2 linked regions of the Canis lupus familiaris genome follow. The protein of the gene in region 2 binds, or shares a complex with, the protein of the main gene of each other region. Links are inferred from orthologs where the notes say so. Each region holds a gene or a part of one and is shown on either strand. Other genes may lie near its edges.

Region 1 (3,749 bases), on a different chromosome or scaffold from region 2:
AATAAACTTGACCATTTCACACTTCTGAAGCAGTTTTAAGTCTTCTGCATTTCCATGCCACAATATCCTTCAGTTAAAGCATTTATCACATTGTATTCTAATTATTTGCATATATCTTCATCTTGAATTTAAGGTTAGAACAGAAGTTATTTTATCAAACTTTGAATTCAAAATATGTAACAGTTTTATGGTATTTAAACAGTACCAGTCATTTCATTTAACCAAATTAAATGTTTCATGAATTAACATCTGAGAATATTCAGAAGCTCCTCGTGAGCAGTCTGTGTTTAATTCTTCAGTGAAGTACTGTCTCTATAACACTGAGCATTATACCATTATCCCAGTCTGGAAGAGGATCTGAAGAGCTAGACTAGTTGGTCTAACTAGAGTCACTAGAGTATCTGGGGGCTCTGAGCATTCTCCCTGGGTTTCTTTAAATAGCTCCAGTGGATTTGGAAAATTTGGCAGTGCAGCTCAAAGAGTAAATAGATTAGTATTCGTCAAGTGCCAACCTTTGTTGCAAAAATCATTTATTTCAGAAGCTCAAAGCAGGACACATTTACAGAATGCTACTATACTTTGGAGGTTAAGAATGGAGGTGAGGGTGGTAATGTGAGACAAAGAACTGACACTTAACACTTTTCCTGGGAACCCAGGAAATGAGTGAAACTTAAATGAGAGAGAGCAGGGAAGACATTTATGTCAAACAGAATACAAAGGCTTGGTTTGAGAAAAACCTTGATGTTTGGAAGATAATGGATCAACTGAAGGTTCTGTGAAATGCTAAATCTTCAAAGAGAGGGCAAATGTGTGTGTGTTGCAAGGCAGGGATTGGGGGTGTGGGGGTAGCCCTGATGTGGTGGAAGACTGCAGTCAACCGCGGTTTTGTACCTAATGGTCTGCCAGCAGTGAGATGCTTTTGGTGATAGTTTAGTTTCTGCAAAGACTAAGTCTAAGTGCCCCGAAAGAACTAGACTTCAGGTAATTTGTCTCAAGGCACATGTTTTTTTTTTTTTTTTTTTTTTTTTTTTTTTTAAGATTTTATTTATCTATTCATGAAAGACACACACAGAGAGAAAGAGAGAGGCAGAGACACAGGCAGAGAGAGAAGCAGGCTCCATACAGGGAGCCCGATGTGGGACTTGATCCTGGGACTCCAGGATCATGCCCTGGGCCAAAGGCAGGCACCCAGCCACTGAGCCACCCAGGAATCCCAAGGCACATGGTTAATATTTGGTGCAATCTACCGTCAAATCTTGTCCCCTTTGCAATTCAGTTGTCTTCTATGCTAGAAAGACTATTACATACATATTCAAGAATAAGAGAAATGACAAACGAGGCTAGAGTCCATTTACAAAGGGATCTAAAATTGGTGACAAGGATGGAAGGAAAAGGACTTTGATGGGATCAGCAGTTCCCAAGAGAAAAGGGCATTATTATCAGTAATCCCTATTTAGCTTCTCAGCTTTACAAATTAACATATCAGGGAGATTAAAAAACATAAGATCAGGATTAAATGTTTAGAAAAGCAGAATATCATTAAAAACCTAAATAGGTTTCTGCCAAACTTGTTGAAAGGGATGTCTTTTTACAGAAGTCCCTACTTCTTTACCAACTGGTTTAAAACGTCCTCGTAAACACCTGGAAAATAAGGACATTTAGACCGTGGAAGGGGGTGGAAGGCGGCGGGGGGGGTGGGGGGCAGCGTTTAGTCGAACGTTTAGTCAAACGTTTCTGACTTCCTCGTCGGCATCTGAACTCATTTTTGGCAGTCTGGGACTAATCACACTTGACCTCAAATGCTAGCGGGGAGATTAAAAATAAAACATAAAACCAGGGGCAGCCCGGGTGGCCCAGCGGTTTGGCACCGCCTTCAGCCCAGGGCGTGATCCTGGGGACCCGGGATCGATCATTCGGCACACGATACTTATTCAGTAACGCACTACGGCTTACGTATTCTGTGTCGACCAAAGTGACAGCAACCTGGCAGGAAAGTGCGAGTTCCTTCAAGGAGGGAAGTCGCGGCAGAAAGACGGGATGCAGAAATAGGTCAAGAGGTCAATGGGATAAACGGGAGGCGAGAGGGTCAATGCGGTTTGACCACTCACCCAGCAGGGTCCCGATAACTCGGGCAGCGCCCTCGTTGCGTCGCTCGTAGCTGTCCACGATGGAAGCCAAAATGACCGGGTGCAGCCGGACCACGCGGCCCCCGGGGAAGGGGCCTGGGAGAGCAGGACCCGGCAGTGACTGCGCCGGAGTCTGCGCTGGGGCTGGCGTAGACGCCGGGGTCTGGCCCGGAGCCGCAGTCGTGGCCGCCGCAGTCCCCGGGTCTGAGGCAGAGGCTGGAGCCGGCGTTGGAGCTGGGACCGGCGCTGGAGCCGGAGCCGGCGCTGGCGCTGAAGCTGGGGTTGCGGCCGGGGCTGAGACCGAGGTTGGGGCCGCGGCCGGGGCGGAGGCTGGGGCTGGGGTGGCGGCAGGAGCACTCGCCGGGGCTGCCGGTGTGGCCATCTTGTCGAGAGAGAAGGAGCCGGGAGCGGAAGGGAGGGAGTTGAAAAGTAGTAGAACACGATAGGCTGAAGATGCACCACGTGAACGAGATCTTTATGCCGATTGGCTACCGGTAATGCTTCTCACGGCACAGTTTCCGGCTCTGAGTTTGTGCTCTTTGATTTCAGACCGATGAGCACTCAAGTGAGGACGGAGCTGAATAGTTCCGGACAAACTTGAGACGGCGATGAGAGAAGAAACCGCTCCGACTGCTCAGCGGCCGCCAGGTGGACCCAGAGTTTCCAGACTTCAAAGGGGTAGTGGACGATAAAGTGCGTTTTAAAGGCACTTCTTCACCGCGTCAGAAGGTGTGGGTGCGGCGGCTTCTTCAGTCACCAGTGTGAATAGGTGCCAGGCGCTGTGTTAGGCCCTCGGAATGTAGATCAGAGGACAGAACAAGGATCGTTGTCCTCAAAAATGCCCAATATCTAGCGGAGAGAGACAAAAGGGTATATAGTATGTTACAGGGTGATGGATGCTATGAAAAAGGAAAAACGAGCGGGGAATAAGGGAGAATCAGAAGGTAGGGTGGGTAACAATGAGAGCGTGAGATCTGAGTGGATTGAAGGAGGCAAGGGAGGGGGCTGTTTTTTTAAAAAAATATTTAATTTATTTGAGAGTGAGCATGAGTGGGGTGAGGGGCAGAGGGAGAAGCAGACTCCCTGCTGAGCAAGGAGCCCCGTGCGAGGGCTGAGATCGTGACCTGAGTCGAAGGCAGATGCTCAACCGCTGAGCCACCCAGGTGCCCGTGGAGCAGGTGTTTTTTTTTTTTTTTTTTTTTGAAAAGGTCCTAAGTTCAATTTTGGAGGTGTCACCCTCATTAGACATCCCAGCAGAATTGTTGAGTGGTCAGGTGGAGATGCTAGTCTGTGCTTTGGGAGAGGGTTTCAAGGAGTAACCCTCTGTAAAGCTCTTAGCATGTGCCTGATACATAGAAGTTATTATTATTATTAAATATTTTATATATTGATTCATGAGAGACACAGAGAGGCAGAGACATAGGCAGAGGGAGAAGGAGGCTCCCTGCAGGGAGTCCTATGTGGGACTCAGTCCCAGGACCCTGGGATCACCACCTGAGCCGAAGGCAGATGCTCAACCCCTGAGCCACACAGGTGCCCCTACAGCCGTTACTATTATTAAGCGGAAGCTATTACCACCGCTATGCAATGGAAAAGAGCTCTGATTCTAACATTGTGTGTAAC
Region 2 (3,661 bases):
CCAAGAGGCAGAAGCTCCCATCAGATCAAATGACTTGGACAGGACACCTGCCATGTTTTCATTCCAGTATGTGCCAAAGTGATGACCTCTTTCTCATCCGTAAAGCCCCAGCTCGTATGACATTCACCTTGGGAAACCTTGCCGGCTCCCCTTCCCATTCCAGGCAGTCAGTTGCCCCCTCACCCCTCTGGCCTTCCACAGTGCTTTGTGCTTTCTCTAATATGGCTTATATCTTACTGTAGTGCTTCTTTTCTTGTCTGTTTATTGTTCCTTAGAACAGGAGCCATCTCTGGATTATCTGTTTCCCCAAAACCTGTTCACCTCAACAGATACACTGTAGGTCGTCACTGTCTGATGGAAAAGTAAATGATCCAGGCTTACCTGTTTCACAGTCCCAGAGACGACAGCTATTATCAGCTGAGCCGGTAAGGACATGTTTGGTGTCCCCTGAAGAAGGTGTTAAAGAAACATGATCGAGTTCACCTGAGCCCCTGTCCTCTTGGAAAACCAACGGAATCACCTCCCTGTTCAGCCCCAGACAGCCTTTCTTCCTCTCTTACTTCAGAACTTTCTAACCTTCTCATATAGAACTGGAACTTGTCCTGAATATTCCCCCAACCAGTGAAAAGACCAGGGATTAGGCGGGAGATATCATTCCCTAGACCCACAATAGCATCCCAAACTCCCAACTCCACATGGGCAGCCTCTCCGTCGCTGGCAGACCCTGGGATCCCACACTCAGAGCAGACAAGGATACAGTCAGCGTCTACACACCACACAGCTCCACTATGGCCCATGTAAGTGCCCAGCCTCTCACCATTCACGGAGTACCACACATTGACAATCTGGAAGAGTCAATGACAGTGTGACACATAGTAAACATCCCAGGCAGAGCAATGGTCTCCTACTTAGAGGTTCCCCAGGAACCGCAGCAACCTCTAACCAGGCCAGATTCTCCCCTTTCCTGCTCATGTCTTGGGAAACAGTAGGCTGCTGGTAAAAAAAAACAATTCCTGGATTCTCCTCCTTCCTGCAGGTAAGTGGCAGGGGAGTCAGGAGGCTTGTAAAAACATCTCCATTGGGGATCCCCGGGTGGCTCAGTGGTTTAGCGCCTGCCTTCTTCAGCCCAGGGCATGATCCTGGAGACCCGGGATCAAGTCCCCCAATCAGGCTCCCTGCATGGAGCCTGCTTCTCCCTCTGCCTGTGTCTCTGTCTCTCTGTGTCTCTCATGAATAAATAAATAAAATAAAAAATCTTAAAACAAAACAAAACAAAATCTCCATGCCATTATTCCGGTCTTTCCTGAAACTCTCAAATACAGTGCTTCTCTCTTCTGAGCAGATTGTCTTGTCTGTAAAATGGCCACAACAATAATGCCTTCTTCAAAGAGTAGCTGTGAGGCTTCAATAAAAATAATGTCTAAGGAATTTAAAATACAGTAACAATTCTCCAGTAACATACACGAGGTATTTACCGTGCTAAACTCCTTCCCCAAATAACCTCATTTAACCCTGAAGACAACTCTCACAAGGGAAGAATTATTAGTACCCATAATTCATAAAAAAAAAAAAGGGAAACCAAGTTATCAAGGTTAAATGACACGCTCCAAGTCACACTGCTCCTGGATGCAGGGGTCGGGATTCAAATCAGGTCTGCTGGCCTCTGAACTCCCACTTTTGGCCACTAGAGTTAACACATCTTCCATATGGAGGTGCCTCAAAGGGCACTGCTGTGAGGGGCTGTTTGCACTCAGTGAAAGACACCCACAAGGACCTACTGAAATGAGACCCGGGACACCTCCAGGAAGTCCTCTGTTGTCCCTCACCGCCCAAGGAGCAGCTTTCCCCTTCTAGGGGTGGCCTGCTCCCCTCCCCTGGAAGAATAGTCTGACTCTGGTCTCCGTCCCCCTTCCGTGATGGTCTCTTGCTTTTTTTTCCTCCTGGCCACTCCCTCCTCCTACCAACTACTGCGTTCTATCCCGGAATAATGTCTCGCCCACCTACTCCCGGGATGGCCTCCCCCTACTTCTCAGAATGGGGAGCTCTTTGGCTCCCCTCTCACGGCAAAAACGGCCTGTCCACCCCTCACCCCGGCCGAAAGAAGTCTCCCCCTCTCGCCGCCCCCCACCCTCGCAGGGTCCCGCCGGGCCGCCGGCCGCCGACGCTCACAGGGTCCTTGGCCACCGTGAAGAGGAGGTCTCCCTCGCGGTTGTACTTAATCTGCGTAATGGATCGTTCATGGCCCTGCAGCAGGATGGGCTTCTGTGGGGACAGGACAGGAGTGTCAGCGCCCCGGACCGGCCCCTGCCCCAGTCCCACACCCCCAGGCTAACACCTCAACTCAGAACTCACCATCCTGGCGTTGACGCGAGGGAAGCGGCAACGTGAGTAGGACCGGAAGAGGCTTTGGCGCCACTTCCGGATTATGGGTCTCCGCCCCTTCGCCCCCGGAAGTGGGCCAGAGCGGCGTTGCCATGGCGGCGTCCTTTGGTGGGTAGGCGGTCCCACCCCTTTCGGGGCTTCCCAGACCCTACCCGGGGTTCCTCTGCCGCTTCGCCTCCCCTCCCTGAACTTGATCTCCGCCCGATCCCCAATCTCCGGGCCGCCGGATCCATCCACCCGCCCCCCGGGGCCTTTCCTACCCACCAGTCGCACCCGGGGCGTCGGAGAGCGAGGGAGGGATGTGGGGGTGGCTGACGGGGGAAAAGAGGCCCGAGAAGGGCTGGGCCCGGCGGGTGGCCCTTTGTCGGGGATGAGGGTCACTCGCATCTCCCTCCAGGGCAGGTGCTGGCTCTGGTGCTGGTGGCCGCCCTGTGGGGTGGCACACAGCCGCTGCTGAAGCGGGCCTCCGCCAGCCTGCAGCAGGTCCATGAGCGGACGTGGGCCCGGCAGTTGCTGCAGGAGATGAAGACCCTCTTCTTGAATACTGAGGTGTGTCTCTGAATGGCCCCTTTCTCGTGCATAGCTGATCCAAGTCTGGAGCAGAATCTGGCTCTCCACCAGCTTAGTCGCTAGGTCCTCCTTGAGCCTCAGTTTCATCATCTGTAAAATGGAAATGATAGTGGTAAACCATCTTATGAGGGCAGTTGTGAGGATTCAACGGCGAGGCACATAGACCACTTAACATTGGGTCTAGGAAATAATTAGGGTTCAATCTATGGTTGAGATGACTAGTATTTTATTATGGTAATCTGTCCAACAGACCTCACTGAGGCAGGACTTGGGGCTCAAATGGACCCGGGAGGGAGGATAGGGAAGGTTATTCTCTGATAACCTCTATCCAGAGAACTACCTCTGACTCCAGTGCTGCCAGTCTAGGCTAGAGGGAAAGACAAGACATAGACACAACCACGGCTTAGAGCTAAGGCCTATGAGAGAGGTACAGATTAAGTGCTTCATGAGTTCACAGAAGGGAGGCTGGAGTAGGGGCCTCCGGGAATGCTTCTTGGAGGGAGTGACATTGGCATTCAGGGACTTGCACGGGCTGAGGGAGAAGCCTTCAAAGCAAAAGCACAGAGTTCAGTCAGTAACTTGTTAGTAACTTGTTGGAAAGGTCCTTTTCAGAAGGCTAACCACTCTCTGGACCCTTATAGCTATCCCTTCCTCCAAGGAAGAACATATCTAGAAGCTCAAAGAAGGCAGGGCTGCTCAATCAAGTATC

What was found. Proteins that work in one complex are often made in the same cells at the same time.
Region 1: EIF3I (region 2) and EIF3F share a complex: the UniProt entries of both Homo sapiens proteins name them as parts of the eukaryotic translation initiation factor 3 (eIF-3) complex. The link is inferred for Canis lupus familiaris from reciprocal best matches to the Homo sapiens genes EIF3I and EIF3F.

Annotation. Positions count from the first base shown.
Region 1 is NC_049242.1:32,120,801-32,124,549, reverse strand, and holds the start of EIF3F (eukaryotic translation initiation factor 3 subunit F), read right to left. Parts: upstream 2,533-3,749; 5' UTR 2,509-2,532; coding exon 2,109-2,508; intron 1-2,108. UniProt on the Homo sapiens protein: Component of the eukaryotic translation initiation factor 3 (eIF-3) complex, which is required for several steps in the initiation of protein synthesis.
Region 2 is NC_049223.1:68,381,677-68,385,337, forward strand, and holds the start of EIF3I (eukaryotic translation initiation factor 3 subunit I), read right to left. Parts: upstream 2,887-3,661; 5' UTR 2,872-2,886; coding exon 2,353-2,871; intron 2,263-2,352; coding exon 2,170-2,262; intron 846-2,169; coding exon 758-845; intron 448-757; coding exon 382-447; intron 1-381. Other genes in the region: TMEM234 (transmembrane protein 234), read left to right, coding at 2,905-2,931, 3,594-3,661. UniProt on the Homo sapiens protein: Component of the eukaryotic translation initiation factor 3 (eIF-3) complex, which is required for several steps in the initiation of protein synthesis.